Xenopus tropicalis: one gene and its partners. The protein of the gene in region 1 interacts with the protein of each later gene in a pairwise test. Links are inferred from orthologs where the notes say so. Each region holds a gene or a part of one and is shown in the gene's direction. Other genes may lie near its edges.

Region 1 (4,275 bases):
CAGTCCCTTCCCAGAGGCTATTATCCCACTGCTACTATAGGCACCATCTCTCCCTACTATACCTGCTATCCCACAGCCCCAGTCCCTTCCCAGAGGCTATTATCCCCCCACTGCTACTATAGGCACCATCTCTCCCTACTATACCTGCTATCCCACATCCACAGTCCCTTCCCAGAGGCTATTATCCCCCCACTGCTACTATAGGCACCATCGTCCCTACTATACCTGCTATCCCACAGCCACAGTCCCTTCCCAGAGGCTATTATCCCCCACTGCTACTATAGGCACCATCTCTCCCTACTATACCTGCTATCCCACAGCCCCAGTCCCTTCCCAGAGGCTATTATCCCCCCACTGCTACTATAGGCACCATCTCTCCCTACTATACCTGCTATCCCACATCCACAGTCCCTTCCCAGAGGCTATTATCCCCCCACTGCTACTATAGGCACCATCGTCCCTACTATACCTGCTATCCCACAGCCACAGTCCCTTCCCAGAGGCTATTATCCCCCACTGCTACTATAGGCACCATCTCTCCCTACTATACCTGCTATCCCACAGCCACAGTCCCTTCCCAGAGACTATTATTAAAACCTGTAGTTGAACTCAGTGCATGCTATAAGCACATTACAAGCGCTTACCTATAAATGCCAGTGTGTATACAAGGCAAGAAGGAAGGGCCTATGTACTGCAGTTGATACAGAGGGGAGTGATAAGAATACAGAGTGTTGGTGGCTGGAGACGTAAGGGGGCTCCATATGAAGGGAAATGAATGAGTAATCCTCCAGCTGTAGTAGAACTACAACTCCCAGCTGGCAGTGAGATGAAGGGCCCTGGTCACACACCCTTCCTTACCCTGCACTAAATCAGTGTTTAAGTAGCCTGTCCCCAACCTAATATATGTGTTTCCCAGCACCAGAGTATGACAGGGAGTCGCCCCTAAATGGCTGCATGAATGATGGGGTGCCCGGCCTGCAGCACCTCTGGCAGGAGCTTCTGGGGAGCAGTGCGGGGAGTTGCAGTTCACCAATAGCAGGGGGGCTGCGGGCTGGGACATATAAGGGACATTATGAAGCATTTGTATTTGCCCCAGTTTAGGGGGCCCTAATACTATTTAGCCGCAGCTTCCAGTTCCAGTGTGACGCTGCAGCCAAACGCACTTTACTCAGTCAGGCGAGCCTGCTGTCACTCTCCCAGCGAGTACTAACCCGTGTGTCCCCCGTGTGACTGGCCTCTCCCTCCCCGCCGGCCGGCCCCAGTGCCAGTCTCCCCCTCCCTCCTACCCCTCCCGCCCGGCCGGCCCCAGTGCCAGTCTCCCCCTCCCGCCCGGCCCCAGCTGAGGGAGCGTTGAGCCACACGTGAGGCCCATATGACGGGGGGCCGGGGCTCAGCCGGCTCCAGGCGTGAGGCTTGTCACAGGGAGGGGCCAGCGCGCCCCTCCCACCAGCAGCGCCCCTCCCACCCATTTAACCAGAGGCTGAGGCGCAGCAGGGCTGCATTACCTAGCGGGGAAAGGTACTCAGTGTCAGCCTTGGGCACACTCTCAGCCCGACCTTCATGCCCCTGACTGGAATATACACACCCACCTGCTCTATTGCTAAAGCGCAGACCCTCAGGCTGCCCACAACTCTGGATTGTGCCATGGAGAGAATGCCCAGTGCCCAGCCCGCCTGTCTGGACAGACCTCCTTCCCTGTCTGGGTAAGTGCCCGGCTGCCAATGGAGCTGTACCACCTCTGCCTCAGCACCCTGTGCCCCCTACCAGCACCCTGTGCCCCCTATCAGCACCCTGTGCCCCCTGCCAGCACCCTGTGCCCCCTATCAGCACCCTGTGCCCCCTACCAGCACCCTGTGCCCCCTACCAGCACCCTGTGCCCCCTATCAGCACCCTGTGCCTCCTGCCAGCACCCTGTGCCCCCTATCAGCACCCTGTGCAGGGAACCTGTTGCCCTGTAGCTCTGCTGGGACTCCTGGCTGGTGTTGGGGGGGGGGGGCATTTTTAATGAGCCCCAAGGAATTAGAGGGTTGGGGACTGATGTGTAACAAGTGTTATACATATATTCTGTAAATGCCCCAGGGATTCCACAACAGCTGGGGGGGGGGGGGGGGGGCAGGTTGGACAACCCTGATTTTTTCATTTCCCTTTCCTCAGATTTGGGGGGGCTCAAAGTTCTTCTATTCCCAGGGGCCATCATCCCTTTAATTTAGCAGTTAGCGTTTGTTATTGGAATTATATTTCAGCAACTGGTTGGTTTAATGTCTTGGTTCCAGAGTTGGGTAGAAATGGTATTTGTGTTGGACCCCCCAGAAGGGCCACTTTTCCATTTTCTCCAGCCTTAGTGACTTTGGGGGGGGGGGGGTGTTTTTGGAATATTTCTCTTGACCAAAATGATGCTGAGGAGGGGGGCTATGTCCATTGCTTGGGTCCTGATCTCCCCTTTGCTTGTCACAGGATGGATTTCTCCCATATGTATCCGGTGTTTAAACACAGGAAAGCTCTGAAGAGGTGCGAGGAGAGCAAGGTGAGACAATATTCTAACCCTGGCACCCAACACTCAGCACCCACATTTTGGCTTGTTTCTCTACTTTCTTTACAGCTCCTGTGCTTCTCTAAACATTATTAGCCTATATTTATACTGGCATTATCTGTACTGCCCTACACAGCTACAGCTGGTACATACATTCCTCCATATACCTGCTGCCAATCTGCTGCCAAATGTGCCAGAAAACACCCGACTCCCATCATGTCTCTGTCTCATGTCAGCTGTTTCTACATTCTTCTATACATTCTAATTACTATATAATAAATATATATTCTTGAACCTTACTGGCTCTTAAGCATTTAAGTATTTGCCATTTTTATTTTTTAAACCCCATAAGGGTGTGAATGCTGGCATGATGTCACATTGCGCGTGTGTCTGTACATGCCGTGCTGTGTGTGTCTCCCTCTCAAAGCCCTGCTTGTTCTGTACAGTGTGTGAGTGATGGTCCTGCCTCACGTGGACTGTCACATGTAGGTGAAGTGGCCACGGAACAGACACAAGGGGGCACTGTGTCATACTGTCCCATTACTGTAGGAACCTTCCAGCTATAGCCAATATGACACGTATCTGCTGAGATGGCCACCTAAGTTTAAATGTGTGTAACACTTACCCCCCCCATTCCCATCCAGCAGGACACATACAAGCTGCCACACCGGCTCATTGAGAAGAAGCGTCGGGATCGGATCAATGAATGCATCGCTCAGCTGAAAGACCTGTTGCCAGAGCACCTCAAACTGACGGTAAGTTACCTATTGCTCCCTGCAGTGTAGGAGATCAGTATTGTCATATTAAAGGGCTTTTATCCCAAGCAATGCAAGGTGCAAAATACAGGGGTGCAAGCGGCCTGATTTTTTGTTTACCCGCGATGCAACATTTCCTTATAAAATAACCCCATGCTGCAAGCACACGTGGTAGGCACGGGAAACCAGCTCCATATCAATGCACATGACCGCCATGAACAAGAAACTGATACATGTGATGGACTCACAGCAGATACATGTGACAGTGCCACGCACTCAATAAATGTGACAATCACACAACTACTGGCCTATCTGATTAAAACATATTAAACAGACATGTGATGCCATATGTGTGTGCACAGAAAGCAGCTGATAAACCACAAGATACACAGTGGTGCTGTATGTGCACATAATGATATATATTTATTTCATTCTACACCATTAATTTGTAACATAATAGTGACGTGTGTATCCTTGTGCATTCTCGGTGGGGTTAAAGACTTTAGACAAGTATTTCCCATATTACAATACAGTAAGAGTTAATGTAAACAATAACACGAGTTGGGGACAAAGCAGAAATAGCTGGCGGTGTTTGGGTGACTGCGTAAAACACAATAAACAAAGCCAATGCCAGGAAGGCACCACTGAGTTGGTTTGGAATTGTACTGCACTATTTATACTTGTTTCTAGCATATTTGTGCTCATTTATATAATCTATGGCTGTGACTAGGCATATTGGGTGCTTGGGTAAGTAGGTAGTGGGAGATTCTATTGCTTGTCTGTGTGTGAGTCAGAACAAGGCTGTGGTGGCATTGTTGCTTGCCCAAGAGTCTGGGGGCAGCAGAGTTGCTAGAGGAGGGGGGGGGTCGCTATCACAGAGCTTTAATTTAGCATCGCCATGGAGTTTTCCAGAGACAGTTTGTTACAGGACTGGATGCTAAGTAGTAAGCGGTGTCGGTATGTTCAGATAACCATTCTTATGTTTCCTTT
Region 2 (2,561 bases), on another chromosome or scaffold:
CTGCAATGCATTTGTCTGCTTTTTTATTTAACTCCCACCCCCCAAGGGGCAACTGTGCAGTCTCATCTGCTTGCCTGCAGGGGTTTCTTCATGACACAGCAGCCAGGGTTGGACTGTGGAAACATACTTGGTATCTTAAAGGGGTTGTTTGCCTTTAAATTAACTGACAATAATTAATTAAGTGACATTCTGAAACTACTTGCAATTAGTTTTTCTAATGTTGTGTTTTTTTTAAATTATTTAGCTTTATATTCAGCAACTCTTCAGTTTGGAATTTTAGAATCTATGTGGTTGTTAGGCTCCAAATTACCCTAGCAACCAGGCAGTGGTTTGCATGAGAAACTGGAATGAAAAGGAGAGGGGCCTGCATAGAAAGATAAGTAATAAAAAGTGTAGTATCACAGAAAGAGGCAGAAGAGAAAGGCAAATAATTCAGAAACAATAAAAGATAAGAAATGAAGACCAATTGAAAAATTGCTAACATTCTATAACAAACTAAGAGTTAACTTAAAGGGGAACCACCTGTTTAGAGCTATAGGAGTGATTGATCTATAAAGGGCAAGTGGCATGAGTTAAATAGGACTTCCCACAGTGTTGGTAAGTGTCTCAGTTACCCTTTCCTGACCAGTGCAGTGATATTCATACATAAATCACGTGACTTTTCATCACATGAACACGGAAGTTGAAATATTTTCACCACGCACTTTACATGTGGTTCTCTTTAACCCCTTCATGGCCTACTTTACATGTGCATCTTAGGATACCTTTTGGTATATAGCTCCAGCCTGCGGACATATAACTGCAGTTCAGGCAATAAAAACAAATGGTTGTAAAAATCACCATTCAAAGTTTCCCTTTTTATTTTCCTCAGGTCACAAGGATTCTGTTACTTGTGCTGTTTTTAGCCACGACTCCACTATGGTGGCCACTGGAGACATGAGTGGCCTGATCAAGGTGTGGAAGGTGGAGGGGGCAGAGGAGATCTGGTCTTTCGAGGTGGGAGATCTAGAGGTAAGGAAATGGAATGGGTCCTTATATCTTGCCTTGCGTCTGCATTGGGATTTGGATTGGATATGCTGGGGGTGTAACTTGGCTTTCCCACCAATAGCAAAGCTGATTTCATCATTCATTTAACCTGAATTACACATCAGCTGTTTCAGTGAGTCTTCAAATTATTGCCCCCTCATTGGGCCTATGGCAATAACTTGCCCTTTTCTCCCTGCTAGTGGCTGGAATGGCACCCCTGTGCCCACGTATTGCTGGCTGGCACAGCTGATGGAAACACCTGGATGTGGAAAATACCCAGTGGCGAGTGTAAGACTTTCCAGGGCCCCAGCTGCCCGGCTACCTGTGGCCAGTTCCTGCCCGATGGTAAGAGCCATAATAAATTCATTTGCAGAGGAACAATAGATAGGTATCTGTTGTTCCTTTCCAAATGGAAGAGATTTTGTTTGCTTATCTCCATTGAGTTCTACCCATAAGGCCACATTTATGTAGCAGTCCTGGAAAATGACAGTGTTGGTATTTGTGTAGGAAGGAAAGCCGTGGTGGGCTATGAAGACGGAAGTGTGCGGATATGGGACCTGAAACAAGGAAATGCTCTTCATGTCCTCAAAGGTAAATAGCATAGTGTCCCTTGCGTTAACATTCTGTTGATGCTGCCCCTTTAAACTTTGGAGTCTTGGGTTAGCGTTGCATCATGACATCAGCAGTCGTCAATGAGTTATGATGTCATAGATCCAGGGTTGGGCACTAAGAGAAGTAGCAATGTGCCATTTCCTGGTGGATTTTATTGTATAAAACTGAATATTTCTATATTGCAGGCACAGATGGACACGCCGGGCCTCTCACGTGTGTCGCCTCTAATAACGATGGCAGCCTCGTACTTACGGGTTCGGTGGACTGTGACACAAAGTTGGTGAACACAGCAACTGGCAAGGTGAGTGGAACCTCCCCAATGCTTCTCACTATGCCCTCTAGCGCTTAGGGGCCCTTGTGCTTGAGGGGGCTCTACTTGCATTATCAGTCTTGCCTAAAACTCCATTGTTTTGGGCTGAATTGCCAATTTTTTTATGTGGTATTGGTAAAGCCATTAGAAAAGAGGGCTCAGGGGTAGTATTAGCAGGGACAGCCGCTTAGGTTTGTCCATCTGCCCATTGTTCAAAATGCAATATAGTATTGTATTCTGAGCAGTTGCTTATTCTGCTTCTTGGATGCCTGACCAGGATTCCAGTGCCTCAGTGTAAAGCTATACATGGGCAAATATTAGCCATAGACTCAGCCCTTCTAGACCGGGTTGGCAGCTTCTCAGCCGCTATCAAATTTTTCTCTACAGGTTGTTGGGGTTTTCAAGACGGAAAGCAACGTGTCCAAGGCCTCAAGACGAGAAGATGGGGAGGCGGAGTCCAACTCAGTGGAGTCTTTAGGCTTCTGCAATGTGTAGGTGGTGGGGTTACAGGGCAAAGGAACTTTAAGAGTTGAATTGATAACCCATGCAGAATGTTTAGTTCCCCTTTAAGTTCAGAGGGAAAGCTAATTTTTACTGCCAACAATATACAAAA
Region 3 (3,403 bases), on another chromosome or scaffold:
TTTCCCATGGGGCTAGCCATATTCTTCATTTCCCAGGGTGCCACAGCCATGTGACCTGTGCTCTGATAAACTACAGTCACACTTTACTGCTGCGCTGCAAGTTGGAGTGATATCCCCCCTCCCCCCCCCCCCAGCAGCCAATCAGCAGAACAATGGGAAGGGAGCAAGATAGCAGCTCCGAGTAGGTATCAGAATAGCACTCAATAGTAAGAAATCCAAGTCCAGCTTGGGACTCCTCCAGTTACATGGGAGTAGGAGAAACAATAGGTTAGCTGAAAGCAGTTCTAATGTGTAGCGCTGGTTCCTTCTGAAAGCTCAGACTCAGTCACACTTTACTGCTGTGCTGCAAGTTGGAGTGATATCCCCCCCTCACCCCCAGCAGCCGATCAGCAGAACAATGGGAAGGGAGCAAGATAGCAGCTCCGAGTAGGTATCAGAATAGCACTCAATAGTAAGAAATCCAAGTCCGGCTTGGGACTCCTCCAGTTACATGGGAGTAGGAGAAACAATAGGTTAGCTGAAAGCAGTTCTAATGTGTAGCGCTGGCTGAAAGCTCAGACTCAGGCACAATGCACTGAGATGGCGCCTACACACCAATATTACAGCTACAAATACATTTGTTGGTTCAAGAATAAAATTTTTAGCAGTGTAATTTATACACCATAAAAATCACGATAGAATCCCTTTAAAGGGTATGGCAACCCTACATTTTCTGGTCTGGTCTTACCTCCCCAACCCAAACACACAATTTGTATTGCATATATCGCCTCTGTTGTCAGCACCATCACATTTACCTAAAACATTTACATCTGCAAACAGCATGTGTGCACTGTAAAGTTTATGCAGTGGAGAATGCAGGTTTACACAGGCAGCTAGGATTGAGCCCTGTAATGGTAAAGCTGAGCTCAGGAGAGGAGGTTAGGAGAAAAAACATGTTTCTCCAGCAAAGTGCACAGATAGAGCAGAGTTTTTATGAAAACCAGCAGTGCCATCCCTTCACTGGCTGCTAGACTGGAGGGCATTTAGTAACCTGGGTTGAGTACAAATGGAGTGGCAGGTATTTATAGTTTTAAAAGAGGCTCTTTTGATCATTATAATCAATACTTGCCAACTTTCCTTAATTTCCAGTCTCGATTTTTGACTCCAGGTAATACCTGTCCCTAAAAATACCTCAGAGTATTGGACATTAATGTTTTGATGTCCAATGCTACATTAATATATTGTTCCAATGAGCAGAAAGCAGTAATGCCTGTCCTTATTCTGCATTGGTGGCTACAGTGCACCCAAACTCTTTTGGGCATGTTTCATACCACCCAATAGACCTAGCATCAAGGATATTATTTTTAAATGCTGGCAACTATATAAAGGAGAAAGTTGGCCTCAAACCAGCCATTTAACTTCTTGTTGATGCCATGTGATGTACATTACATTACATTACATTAACATTTATTTATAAAGCGCCAACATATTCCGCAGCGCTGTACAATAAGTGGGTTACATACATTGGACATACAGAGTAACATATAAAGCAATCAATAACCGATACAAGGGGTGAAGAGGGCCCTGCCCAAAAGAGCTTACAATCTACAAGGAGAAAGGGTTGAGACACAAGGTGTGGGAATGGGCATGACCAGAGTTGTGAGAGGTGTGGCACAGGTTATTGCTAAACTAGATTAGGGTAAGCCTCTCTAAATAAATGTGTTTTTAGAGATTTCTTGAAGGCAGAGAGATTGGGAGAAAGTCTGACAGTTTGTGGGAGCGAATTCCAGAGAAGGGGGGCAGCCCTTGCAAAGTCTTGAATGCGAGCGTGTGAGGAGGGAATGAGAGAGGAGTTGGGGAGCAGGTCAGTAGAGGAGCGTAACAAGCGGGTTGGATGGTACCTAGAGATGAGTTCAGAGATGTAGGGTGGGGCAGAGTTATGGACTGCTTTAAATGTGAGGGTCAATAGCTTGAATTTTATCCTGGATGGTAGGGGAAGCCAGTGCAGGGATTGGCAGAGCGGCATGGCAGAGCAGGAGCGGTTGGAGAGGTGTATGAGCCTGGCAGCAGTATTCATTATGGACTGGAGAGGGGACAGTCTTTGGAGGGGAAGGCCAATTAATAGGGAGTTACAGTAGTCCAGGCGAGATATTATAAGAGAGTGAATAAGAATTTTGGCAGCATCTTGGGTGATAAATGATCGGATTTTGGAGATATTTCTTAGGTGAAAGTGACATGATTTGATAAGTGATTGGATATGAGGAGTGAAGGACAGGGCAGAATCAAGGATAACCCCAAGGCACCGGGCCTGGGAAGATGGGGTGATGGTAGAATTGTTAACCGTTATAGATACCTCGGGAACAATGTGAGCGTTGGATGGGGGAAAGAGAACCAGTTCAGTTTTAGAGAGGTTTAATTTGAGGTAACGTTGCAATGTGCGCAGGTGGTGAAGCTCTGCCGGGACTGCTTGAAGAGACAGGAGCCCATTTTCGCTGATACCAACATCTACATGTTACGGATCCTGAGCATCTATTCCGAAGTGCTCTCTTATCTGCAAATGTTTGATGATGCCGCAGAAAATGCCAAGAAAATGGTCGACGGATACTTGTGAGTTTGTATCTAATCCGGTTTATTGTATATTGGCCTGAATCATACCATATAGCACTGTATATGAAACTCTGCATGGCAACATAATCATAGTGTATTGGCTGTTATTTACTGTAACAATAGTATGGAAACTGTCACTGGTGACAAAAGGCAGGGGTATGGGCAACACTGGGGGTATGGTCCATCTGGAAATATTGTCATTGTGCAGGCTCAGTATTAGCATAAACAAACTAGTTTAATTTGTCCATACCAGCCTATCCAATGTCAGCACACAGTAGGTGTTCCCCTATCCCAGTGATCCCCAACCAGAATGTTGCTCTCAGTGCCCCCAAACCAGGGAGTTATTTTTGAATTCCTGACTTGGGGGCAAGTTTTGGTTGAATAAAAACAAGATTTCCTACCAAATAAAGCCCCTGTAAGCTGATAGGGTGCATAGAGGCCCCTAATAGCCAATCACAGCCCTTATTTTGCTCCTCCATGAACTTTTATGGTGCTTGTATTGCTCCCCAAGTCCTTTTACATGTGACTGTGGCTCATGAGTAAGAAAGGCTGGGGATCCCTGCCTTATACTGAGCACAACTCAGCAGTAACTGTCCCCTTACCACCAGTAATCATGTGGCCCCAAACTAATAAATTAGCAGGATTACCTGTCCAGGAGACCCAATTATTAGCCCACCAGTCAGCTGGCCAGATCGAATGGAGCCGCTGCAGAAAAAAAAATGCCCTACATGGTCATTGATGGACACTGATCCACCTCAAACCCCCAACAGGTTCTGCCCTGTGATATGCATTTTTGTGTTCCCCTGAGCATAGCAGC
Region 4 (3,282 bases), on another chromosome or scaffold:
CTATGATGTTTCTTTTCGGCAGTATTACCTTTACATCACTATTTTACACTTAGCGTGGCCACCAGTTTACAGGCCACTAATTCTGATTCCTACGTATACGTATGAGAGCCTTTCCTCGTCCCCTAGTCATAGTTCAGAATATTTTCCTTTGTTCCAGTAGCCGGATCGAGTTGGGCGATGTGACTCCACATAACATAAAGCAACTGAAGCGGCTGAACCAAGTCATCTTCCCCGTGAGCTACAATGACAAATTCTACAAGGATGTGCTGGAAGTCGGAGAGCTCGCCAAACTGGGTAAGGGCTGCAGTGTTTGTGGCAAGCAGGGGTAACAATGAGCATTTGTACATGTGTTTATTAATGGAAATAATGACCCTATTGGCCGGGAAGCCCCGAATATTAATAGTTTTTTCTTGCAGTGTTCCTCGCTGCTGCTCTTCCATTCAGCTGCTCATTTATATCAGAAACTGCCGCCTATTGGACTGGGTGCTGCCTATATTGCTACACATATTCAAGGGGCCCCCTTATTTAGCAGGACTGGTGTGTAACTTAAAGAAAAGTATTTGCTAGGGATTTTATGTGTTACTTTCCCAGAACTCTTTCCTCAAATTCAACTATCCGTAGAAGTTTAGGCCTCTTTATGTCACTGCCTCCTGTTGCAGGCTGCCCACTTTACTTTATGGGCAATGCACTTGGGCCGTAAAGGGGTTGTCCACATTGGAGTTAAATTTTAGTATGATGTAGAGTAATATTCTAAGACAATTTGCAATTGGTCTCCATTTTTTATTTGTAGTTTTTTAATTATTTCAGGGGGTTTTTCAGCAGCTCTCCGGCTTGTAGATTCAGCAGCTGTTTGGTTGCTAGGATCTAAATTACCTTAGCAACCAGGGTGTGGTTTGAATGTAAAGGTGGCCATACACGGGCCGATTCTAGCTGCCGACTTGGCACCTTAAAGGTCTGTGTATGGGCACTAACGACGGGCCTGCCCAACCGACATCTGGCCTGAAATTGGCTAGATATGGATAGGGCAGGTTTAAAAATCTAGTCAGATTGGGGACCGCATCGGCTCATTGATGTGGTCCCTGAACTGACTGTGCCTATGCCCGTCATTCTAACTCAATCTGAATTAGCCAAAAACCGCCCACCCTTAGGTGGGGATATCGGGAGAAGATCCGCTTAGCAAGCAGATCTTAGCGTGTATGTCCACCTTAAGACTGATACATGAATAGGAGCGGGACTAAATAGAAAAATAATATAAAGGCAAAATAACAAAACTGGAGCCTCACAGAGCAATAGTTTTTTAGCTGCCGGGGGTCAGTGACCCCCATTTCAAAGCTGGAAAGGGGCAGAAGAAGGCAAATAATTTATAAACTGTGAAAAACAAATAATGAAGAATAATTTAAAAAGTTTTAAGCATAGAATTGGCCATTGTAAGTAATAAAAATAGCTAGCGGAATTGATCTGACAATCAATTTTTTTTTTTTTGCTGGGGTCCGAGACCCCCAGAAACTAAGTAGCATTTTTTCATTTTTGCAAGCTTGAAACGGGCAGAATTGGGAATACTGAAACAGAAAACCATACAAAGGAGGCCAATTTGTACTTCACTTACTTCCATGGCTCCCTCTACCCCTCAGCAGTGCAGCCCCAAATACAGAGAGTCACTAAAGCCCCACGAGCCTGTCCCTTGTCCAACCTCGTATTAGCACCTCTCAGATAAATAGCTGCACATCTGCTTGGGAAGGCATCCCCCCTCCTTGGCCAGCCGGGTCGCTACAGCATCCCTAGCACCTTCTTCTTTCCACATCTTCTCATATAACATTTTTCTCTTAAAGTGGAATGTGCAGGTCTGAACTGCGTGGGGATTTGGCTTATATTCTAGATCAGGCCTGCACAACTGGAGGCCCACGGGCCCAATGGGTTTTTATGGCCGCCAGTCGGCCTAAAGGTGCCTTAGACTCCTCAGTATATCATCATCATTTTAATTTAATCTGGCCCTCAGGCATGCTATAAATAATCATATAATCAGTTGGTCAGCACTGTTCTAGATAAATTGGTATGTTCACTTTATCCCCTAATGAAAGACTTAATTCCACAGGCACACTAAATTTGAGACCAGGGAGACCACCTTATTTTGCTTTTCTCCTGAGTATTTAGGGCTGCAATTATATACAGGTATGGGATAAATTATCCAGAATGTTCCAAATTATGGAAAGGCCATCTCTCAGACTCAATTATAAACAAATAGTTCTAGTTTTTAAAAAGTGATTTCCTTTTTCTCTGTAATAATAAAACAGTACCTGTACTAGATCCCAACTAAGATATAATTACCCCTTATTGGGGCAGAACAGCCCTATTGGGTTTATTTAATGGTTAAATTATTCCCTTTTCTCTGTAATAATAAAACAGTACCTGTACTTGATCCCAACTAAGATATAATTACCCCTTATTGGGGCAGAACAGCCCTATTGGGTTTATTTAACGGTTAAATGATTCCCTTTTCTCTGTAATAATAAAACAGTACCTGTACTTGATCCCAACTAAGATATAATTACCCCTTATTGGGGCAGAACAGCCCTATTGGGTTTATTTCATGGTTAAATGATTCCCTTTTCTCTGTAATAATAAAACAGTACCTGTACTTGATCCCAACTAAGATATAATTACCCCTTATTGGGGCAGAACAGCCCTATTGGGTTTATTTAATGGTTAAATGATTCCCTTTTCTCTGTAATAATAAAACAGTACCTGTACTTGATCCCAACTAAGATATAATTACCCCTTATTGGGAGCAGAACAATCCTATTGGGTTCATTTCATGGTTAAATGATTTTTCAGTAGACTTGGAGATCCAAATTGCAGAAAAACCCCAGGTCTAAGCATTCTGGATATCCGCTCCCATAACCCATGTTTAATCTGGGCCTTTGTCTTTTAGTCACCATACTATTGTGCTGGTTTCCTTTCCCTTTTCAAGAGTTACTGTGGACATCAAGCAATATATGTGTATGAATAACATGGATAATAATATAATATGGATAACAATCCGATGGTTCTAGTCCCAGTATGTAGCAATGGCTGGTGTGAGTATAGGCACGGGGGTAGCTCTGTGTAGCCTTTCTCCTGAACTGAATTGCTGCAGTTGCAGATCAGGAACCTTCCCTTTCAGGTTACATCTGTCTCAGAAAAGACCTTTTTCTGACATTATTTTAATTAGAAACTTTTTCCCTCAATAAATGTTCTATTAATGCTTAGCATGTTTGTTTTTAGGTCCCTCAGGCCCAGTAACAT
Region 5 (2,809 bases), on another chromosome or scaffold:
TTTCTTCTTTCTCTTGCTCTCTCACTCACACTGTGTTTTCTTTAAAATATTTTTGCAGGTCAGGCTTCTCACTTCTTTGCCATTTTATGGATCGCAAGAGAAAATTAATTTGTGATGCATTCAAAGTGAAGAAGCTACGAGACAGCTGTTCGAGAGATGGAACAGATCTAAAAGCATCTGCTTCTCCGTATCCGGGTAACGAGGAAATGCATTTTCTATTAGTAATATTGTGTTTTTTTAAAGGAGAAGGAAAGGAAAATAAAGAGTTAATCTCAAGCTGCAGGCATACCTTCAGTTCTCTCAATAGCGCCCTTAAGTCTCCCCATATTTCTCCCATTCAGATGATCAGAAGCCTCATAGGAAAAAAAAACTGCTGACCTCTGTAAAGAAACTTCCCATAATGCCTTGCTCCTGCACCAAGACCAGTGTACATGCCCAGTTTGTTAGACTATGAGGAAGCTTCCTGCTGATTGGTTCAGATCACACATTCCTAAGGGGGGGGGGGAGGGAGCAGGAGAGAGGAAAGAGCTTCGTGTCTCTGGCACAGGAAAACAAACAGACAACAAATCCTGTTTCTTTTGACAGAGAACTCAGTGCAGCTTTTCTGTGAGTGCTTATGGCTGTATTTACACCTACATTACATTAGACCTTCCTGATAAAGCTTACTCAGTTTTTACCTTTCCTTCTCGTTTAATGGTTTTCCATTTTCGTGCGTCTTATTTTCAGACTTCACGGAGGACCCTCATGGAGCCGTCTCATACCTGTGTGCCCTCTTTCCCCGTAAATTATTCAATGATACTTTGCCTCCTCTCTTTCTAAAACATCAGCTATACAGTCTTTTACAAGATCGCACAGCAGTAGACAGATTGTTGGTGAGTGATAAAATAAGTCAAATTTAAATAGGTATTTCATTAAAAAAGATCCCTGACACTTACATTATAGTGTTCAAAGCTGCCTATGTGTTGTGCTGCTAAATGGGTCGTTCACATAGCAAACGTTTAATTTCCATTAAACAGGGCCCACTAGGTTGTTTCCGGTGTCCCATTGGCCCAGTTGACCCTGTTTCTAATATTGAACTTAAAGTTTCATTTTCACCTACCATATCTTCTGGAGTAGCTTTTTTTTTGGGGGGGGGGGGGAGTTATTCTATGTTCTTCATGTTCTAATTGTTACATACATGAGTTGATACATTTCTTATCTTTGGCCCTGTTGAGTAATAATCCTTGAGTTTAATTTAAGGTAGCTGTTAGAATTGATACAGTAGTTACTAATGTTCCACAGATGCTGCAAATTGTAGCAGTTCAGAGGCTGTGCCTGGATTACTGACCAGCCAGACTAAAATACCAGGTGTATTACATAATATATATATACATAACATATAATATATATATTGCAAAATCCATTTCTCTGATTTGACATTTTTCTGTATCTGTCAGCAGGGAAGTATATTGTACATAGATGTTTGTTGATTCAATAGGATGCACAAAAAATATTTTAATGACATATGACTTATCATATTGCTGTATTTTTCTGGATCTGCCACCTCAGTAGTCCTCTTCTTGCTTCGTTTCTCTTGCATTTTTGTTTTTTTACCAGTCTTAATCTGTATTGGAATCTGATTTTTGTCTATACTCCCTTCTATATAATCACATTCCTTTTCTTTCAGAGTTCCCTCCAGCAAAAAGGGGAGGTGTGTTTAGTTCAGACTGGATTTGATCCTGACACATTCATGGTTGTAATGACTGATGACTTACGTAGGACCGCCCTCAGCAGCAGTGAAGGGGGCTCACGGGCTACTGTTGTCCGCAAATTCCTGGACTGTGATCTTTTGTTATCACCCAAAATTAGCTACGGCAGAGATGAAGTGATGATGAAACACCGCTTTAGTGATGGAGAAATAACGTAAGCAAATGGGGTTGCAGTGGACAGGGTACTGTAAAATAATTGAGGAGGAAAGTGGGATACCAGAAGAAAATAAATATGCAAGTCTATAAAACTAGAAAATCATTAAAAGTTTGTCGCAGGTAGATGTTTATTTGCATCCAAATGGAAAAAAGAAGCCCCACTTGAAATTTAGTGGAACTTTACAATGGTATGCAAGACATAGGTTAGAATACAAAATGTGAACTTATTTCTCTGAGCACTTTTGCATTTCATTTATTTTAGGTATTAAGACTGTCAATACCAGGCTTTTAGCTCAGTAGTCAGTGACCCTAGAGTTAAATGACTGGGCAGTAGGTAGCATATAGTTAGTTAGGGTTGCTGACACTAAAAACAGAAAAGGAATGTAAATTGCAAAAGTGCTCAGAGGAGTAAGTTTACATTACATTCATTTTCTATTTGTGGTTAGATCTCCTCTCTTACACCATGGCAAAATCTTTATATGGGAAATCCTAGCTAAGCTTTTTTATTTTGTATTACTGGGTCAACCTAGAGCTGGGCACAAACTCAATCTTCGCATTTGTCATTTTATTTCTGTATTACCAAGCTAAATTTAAAGATGGTTTGGTAACTGCTGATTGGCTGCTATGGGCAACTGCCCTGGTATTAACTGCCATACTGCTATCAAGCACCTGTTTGTAAATCAGCTCTTTAACTTTAACAGTATTGTAAATATGTATTTCCTGTGCTCAAATTTTTCTCACTTTTACCTCCTCTTACTTTCATTGCTACTCAGCTGTGTGGTAAGACCTCACAGTTATCGCAGGGAAACTTCAATTTTATATGCCCTGATTTTAAGTTTTCCCTCATTTGACACTGTTTTTTGTTGTTGTTGTCCTACCTATATTTATTGCATAATAATTTTTTT
Region 6 (3,521 bases), on another chromosome or scaffold:
TGTGATCCACAGTATTGATTGATCCCTCTGTTACAGGTGCTCATCAGTGGTATTTGCTTAAACAGCAACTTAGAAAAAGGATAGAGGATCCTGAAGATGTTGCACGTATTATTCACACGGTTCGGTGTATCCTGAAAACATCAGGCAAGGTCAGCTATATTCTACTTCAGAATGATTATATTATTGTACAGGAGCACATCTGGGGATGTATTGGGAGATGTAGGGTACATGTCCCATGTATGTTGCTTAAATAGACAACCAGGTAGGGGAGTAGATGTGTCTGAAAATATTTTAGTTATTTGTATATGCCCCCTGTTTAGAGATGAATCCTGGGTCTTGTACAGCATAAAAAATTATGGGTCTGTGGGTAACTTACTGACACAAATGGCGGGGGAATTAGTGCAATTAATAATAGAGGTATAGGACCTTTTATGCAAAATTCATAGAACATAAGGTATGAAGAAAAAAATTATGGAAAGACCTGTTAAAAATAAAGTAAGCATTAATTAAAACCAATAGGATTGTTTTGCCACCAGTATTGATTCATACAGCTTAGTTACCATCTAATACAAGTTACTGTTGTAAAATTAGAATATTTTGATTAAAACTGGAGTCTATGGGAAATGGCCATCCCGTAATTTGGAGATTTGGATAATAGGTTTCTGGACAACCGAACCCATACCTGTATTATACAAATGCATACCATTGGTTTGTAATATAACATTATACAAATGCATACCAGTGGTTTGTAATATAACATGAGAGAGGCTACTAAGAATCTTTACCAGAAACCATGGAATGTAACGGCTAAATAAAAGTGATACATATATTAATATGGCATATATATAAGTAATACAGATCATCATCTAAAATGCTGCTGCCACGTGGAGAAGCTTCTCGGGTTCATATAAACACAGGCCAAGAAACTGCCCCTCTGCCCCTTTCTGCTGTTTTTGTGTCTGCACCCAGAGTCACTGCACTGGCCTGGGTGCAGACACATGGGGGGAATTCACAAAAGTGGGGATAGCCCTTTTATGCAGTAAAAGTGGTGGAAAACACTTTCTCCATATTCACAAACAGAAATCTGCCTAAATTCCGACTCAAACGTCACTTTACAGTTTTTGGTGAAAGAAAGACAGTTTACAGACACTTTTGTGAATTTGTTGTTGAAACAAAATTTATATGATGTTTTAAGGACATTTTTTTCCTGACATTTTTCCCCACCATTTTCAAAATGGAGTAAAACTCAGTGTAACTCTGTCAGACCAATTCTAAACTCATCTGTTTTGTTGTGTTTCACCCAGTCTTCATTTCACACCTCTGGTAGAAAAGTTATAAAAATTATGTAAAAAGTTTTTACCTAACATTTGCATTGTTATGCTAGCTTAATGAATCAGTAACATTTTTATTTAAAGGAAAAGTAAAACCTTCCAGGCAGTGCCCCCTTATTAATCACTTCACTTACACTTGCCCCAACTTTTCTGTGCCCCTATAGCATATCCAGAACTACAGAGCTGCTTGATAGCATTGGCCACCTCCTTTACCTGTGTCCCTTCTGTTCCCAGCAGCCATCTTGGGGATCAGCAAGCAGCACATACACACTGGCACAAGGTTGGACTGGCCCAACAGGGCACTGGATAAAAACCCAATGGACCCTAGTACTGTTGGACCTCTTTTCACTGGGCATGTTGGTGTATGGGCCAGAATTCTGCTGACCAGTAATGAGTAGGGGCTAGAGAAAAAGGTATTTAGTGGAATTACAAAGAAATATAGGAAACATTACAAAGCCCAGCTTGTCCTGAAAAAAATGATGTAAAGTTTTCCCAGGCAAACTAAAATTACCCCTCAGGAAATGCCCCTAAATTGAAATGACAAATGGCTCATGAAATGCAAAATCCTGCTGGTAAAATCCTTATCCCATGTAGATGTGGGGCCGGGTTTGGTGGCACTGACAGATTTACTAAGAGCTAAAGGCAAATTCACAAAAAAAATTGTCAGGAAAATGACAAAATCTGAAAACTGTCTGTTTAAAAGACAAATTCACAAAAGTGGAGATAGAGGTTTGTGAATAAGGTGGAAAATCCAACAAATCTATCTCCATTTTTATTTTGCCTCAATATCACCACTTTTGTGAATTCCCCCCATGGAGCAGAATTAAGCATGAAAATGCATACTCACATGTTTCCATGCCGTTATCCACGCCATGTGTCTGCACTCATGCTAACGCAGTAACTCTGGGTGCTGACACAACTAAGAGTGGATAGGAGCGGAGGGGCAATTTTCTCTTTTTCTTTTAGTAAGGCTGAGAATCTGTTCTGTATGGCAGTAGTTAAATGGGAAGTTTCTGCCTCATTTTCCTCCATTCTGTCACCTCAGTATTAACACATTATCAAATTTATTAGTAATAATTTATTTCTTGCTTTCAACTTTAATTCAGTTTCAGTCCTAATTTACTATTTTATTATTTTGCTCTTCTGATTGCTTTTTGGCAGGGAACAGATTGCTCTCCCTCCCACTGCCCAGAGCCATGGCAGTTCTGCAGAGCACTTGGCATATTCTTTAACACTCCTTTGTTAGCAGATGTCATTTTTCAAGTTCAAGGTAATGTCTAAATGCACATGTGATCACAAAGAGGGTTTTGTTTGGTCAGGTAGTGCAGAAGTTTGAAGCATTTTAATTCAAAATTGTAATTCTTAGCGTAAGATTCCAAGTTTTACCAATATAGGACCAGATTCAGTTCAGTGAGAAAACCTTCTCCAGTTGTTTAAGGTGAAACAATAAAAACCCTGTTCAGATATAATGCAGAGCAACTATATGAAACAGTAAGGTTACATGTAAATATGTCATTAACATTTTGCATTTTTTCCTAATTTCAGATATTACCATACCTGCTCATCGGGCAGTGTTAGTAGCACGCTGTGACGTTATGGCTGCCATGTTTAGTGGTAGCTATGTGGAAGCAAAAAGCTTTTTGATACCAATTTATGGCATATCTAAGGACACTTTTCTGTGTTTTCTTGAATATCTTTATACTGACTGCTGTTGTCCTGGTAAGAACTTAATATATTTGTCCACAGAAGATTAGCATATATTTAATTATATCAAGCCTACTAAGGCTAAGGACCCACGGAGAGGTTGAGTCACCCAAGATAAATCTCTGCTAACACAGGCAACTAACAAGAGGGGTCGCCAGTGGAATGCCCTTCACAATGCAGGAGGAAACCGTACGCGACTTTAGAATACAGAAGCAATGCAATGGCCTTTCCAACGGTGACTCCTATTGCTGCTGGTGGAAAGGCATTTCGGAGTGGTTAGTAGCCTACAATACCAGAGATCTATTGCAGATGACTAAACCACTCTGTGGGTCCTTGGACTAAATGTGTACTAGATACTGTATGTATTTGGCCTCCATAAGACACATGAAGCTACTAGTTGCTGCTACTTGTCACGACTACAAAAATAGACAATGCTAATAATTTACTGATAACTGTCTCTACGTGTGTTTCAGACAAGTAGCTGCT

The links.
Region 2: the proteins of bhlhe40 (region 1) and aamp interact in a two-hybrid assay, tested with the Homo sapiens proteins (2 studies listed by BioGRID and IntAct). The link is inferred for Xenopus tropicalis from reciprocal best matches to the Homo sapiens genes BHLHE40 and AAMP.
Region 3: the proteins of bhlhe40 (region 1) and smyd1 interact in binary tests that used the Homo sapiens proteins (3 or more experiments, as listed by UniProt). The link is inferred for Xenopus tropicalis from reciprocal best matches to the Homo sapiens genes BHLHE40 and SMYD1.
Region 4: the proteins of bhlhe40 (region 1) and naa50 interact in binary tests that used the Homo sapiens proteins (3 or more experiments, as listed by UniProt). The two-hybrid records come from large-scale screens. The link is inferred for Xenopus tropicalis from reciprocal best matches to the Homo sapiens genes BHLHE40 and NAA50.
Region 5: the proteins of bhlhe40 (region 1) and stk19 interact in a two-hybrid assay, tested with the Homo sapiens proteins (2 studies listed by BioGRID). The two-hybrid records come from large-scale screens. The link is inferred for Xenopus tropicalis from reciprocal best matches to the Homo sapiens genes BHLHE40 and WHR1.
Region 6: the proteins of bhlhe40 (region 1) and rhobtb3 interact in binary tests that used the Homo sapiens proteins (3 or more experiments, as listed by UniProt). The two-hybrid records come from large-scale screens. The link is inferred for Xenopus tropicalis from reciprocal best matches to the Homo sapiens genes BHLHE40 and RHOBTB3.

What each region holds. Positions count from the first base shown.
Region 1 is NC_030680.2:130,139,849-130,144,123, forward strand, and holds the start of bhlhe40 (class E basic helix-loop-helix protein 40), read left to right. Parts: upstream 1-1,468; 5' UTR 1,469-1,560; coding exon 1,561-1,703; intron 1,704-2,454; coding exon 2,455-2,524; intron 2,525-3,174; coding exon 3,175-3,285; intron 3,286-4,275. UniProt on the Homo sapiens protein: Transcriptional repressor involved in the regulation of the circadian rhythm by negatively regulating the activity of the clock genes and clock-controlled genes.
Region 2 is NC_030685.2:85,167,112-85,169,672, forward strand, and holds part of aamp (angio-associated migratory cell protein), read left to right. Parts: intron 1-871; coding exon 872-1,011; intron 1,012-1,226; coding exon 1,227-1,371; intron 1,372-1,533; coding exon 1,534-1,617; intron 1,618-1,823; coding exon 1,824-1,939; intron 1,940-2,335; coding exon 2,336-2,439; intron 2,440-2,561. UniProt on the Homo sapiens protein: Plays a role in angiogenesis and cell migration. In smooth muscle cell migration, may act through the RhoA pathway.
Region 3 is NC_030677.2:18,423,592-18,426,994, reverse strand, and holds part of smyd1 (histone-lysine N-methyltransferase SMYD1), read left to right. Parts: intron 1-2,422; coding exon 2,423-2,586; intron 2,587-3,403. UniProt on the Homo sapiens protein: Methylates histone H3 at 'Lys-4' (H3K4me), seems able to perform both mono-, di-, and trimethylation. Acts as a transcriptional repressor. Essential for cardiomyocyte differentiation and cardiac morphogenesis.
Region 4 is NC_030678.2:3,211,687-3,214,968, reverse strand, and holds part of naa50 (N-alpha-acetyltransferase 50), read left to right. Parts: intron 1-157; coding exon 158-294; intron 295-3,282. UniProt on the Homo sapiens protein: N-alpha-acetyltransferase that acetylates the N-terminus of proteins that retain their initiating methionine. Has a broad substrate specificity: able to acetylate the initiator methionine of most peptides, except for those with a proline in second position.
Region 5 is NC_030684.2:74,175,834-74,178,642, reverse strand, and holds part of stk19 (serine/threonine-protein kinase 19), read left to right. Parts: intron 1-57; exon of another isoform or gene 58-58; 5' UTR 59-86; coding exon 87-195; intron 196-726; coding exon 727-872; intron 873-1,666; coding exon 1,667-1,902; intron 1,903-2,809. UniProt on the Homo sapiens protein: DNA-binding protein which is required for efficient transcription-coupled nucleotide excision repair (TC-NER). Acts as part of a TC-NER complex which assembles and interacts with RNA polymerase II (RNAPII) when it stalls at DNA lesions.
Region 6 is NC_030677.2:177,111,654-177,115,174, reverse strand, and holds part of rhobtb3 (rho-related BTB domain-containing protein 3), read left to right. Parts: intron 1-36; coding exon 37-149; intron 150-2,492; coding exon 2,493-2,601; intron 2,602-2,876; coding exon 2,877-3,050; intron 3,051-3,521. UniProt on the Homo sapiens protein: Rab9-regulated ATPase required for endosome to Golgi transport. Involved in transport vesicle docking at the Golgi complex, possibly by participating in release M6PRBP1/TIP47 from vesicles to permit their efficient docking and fusion at the Golgi.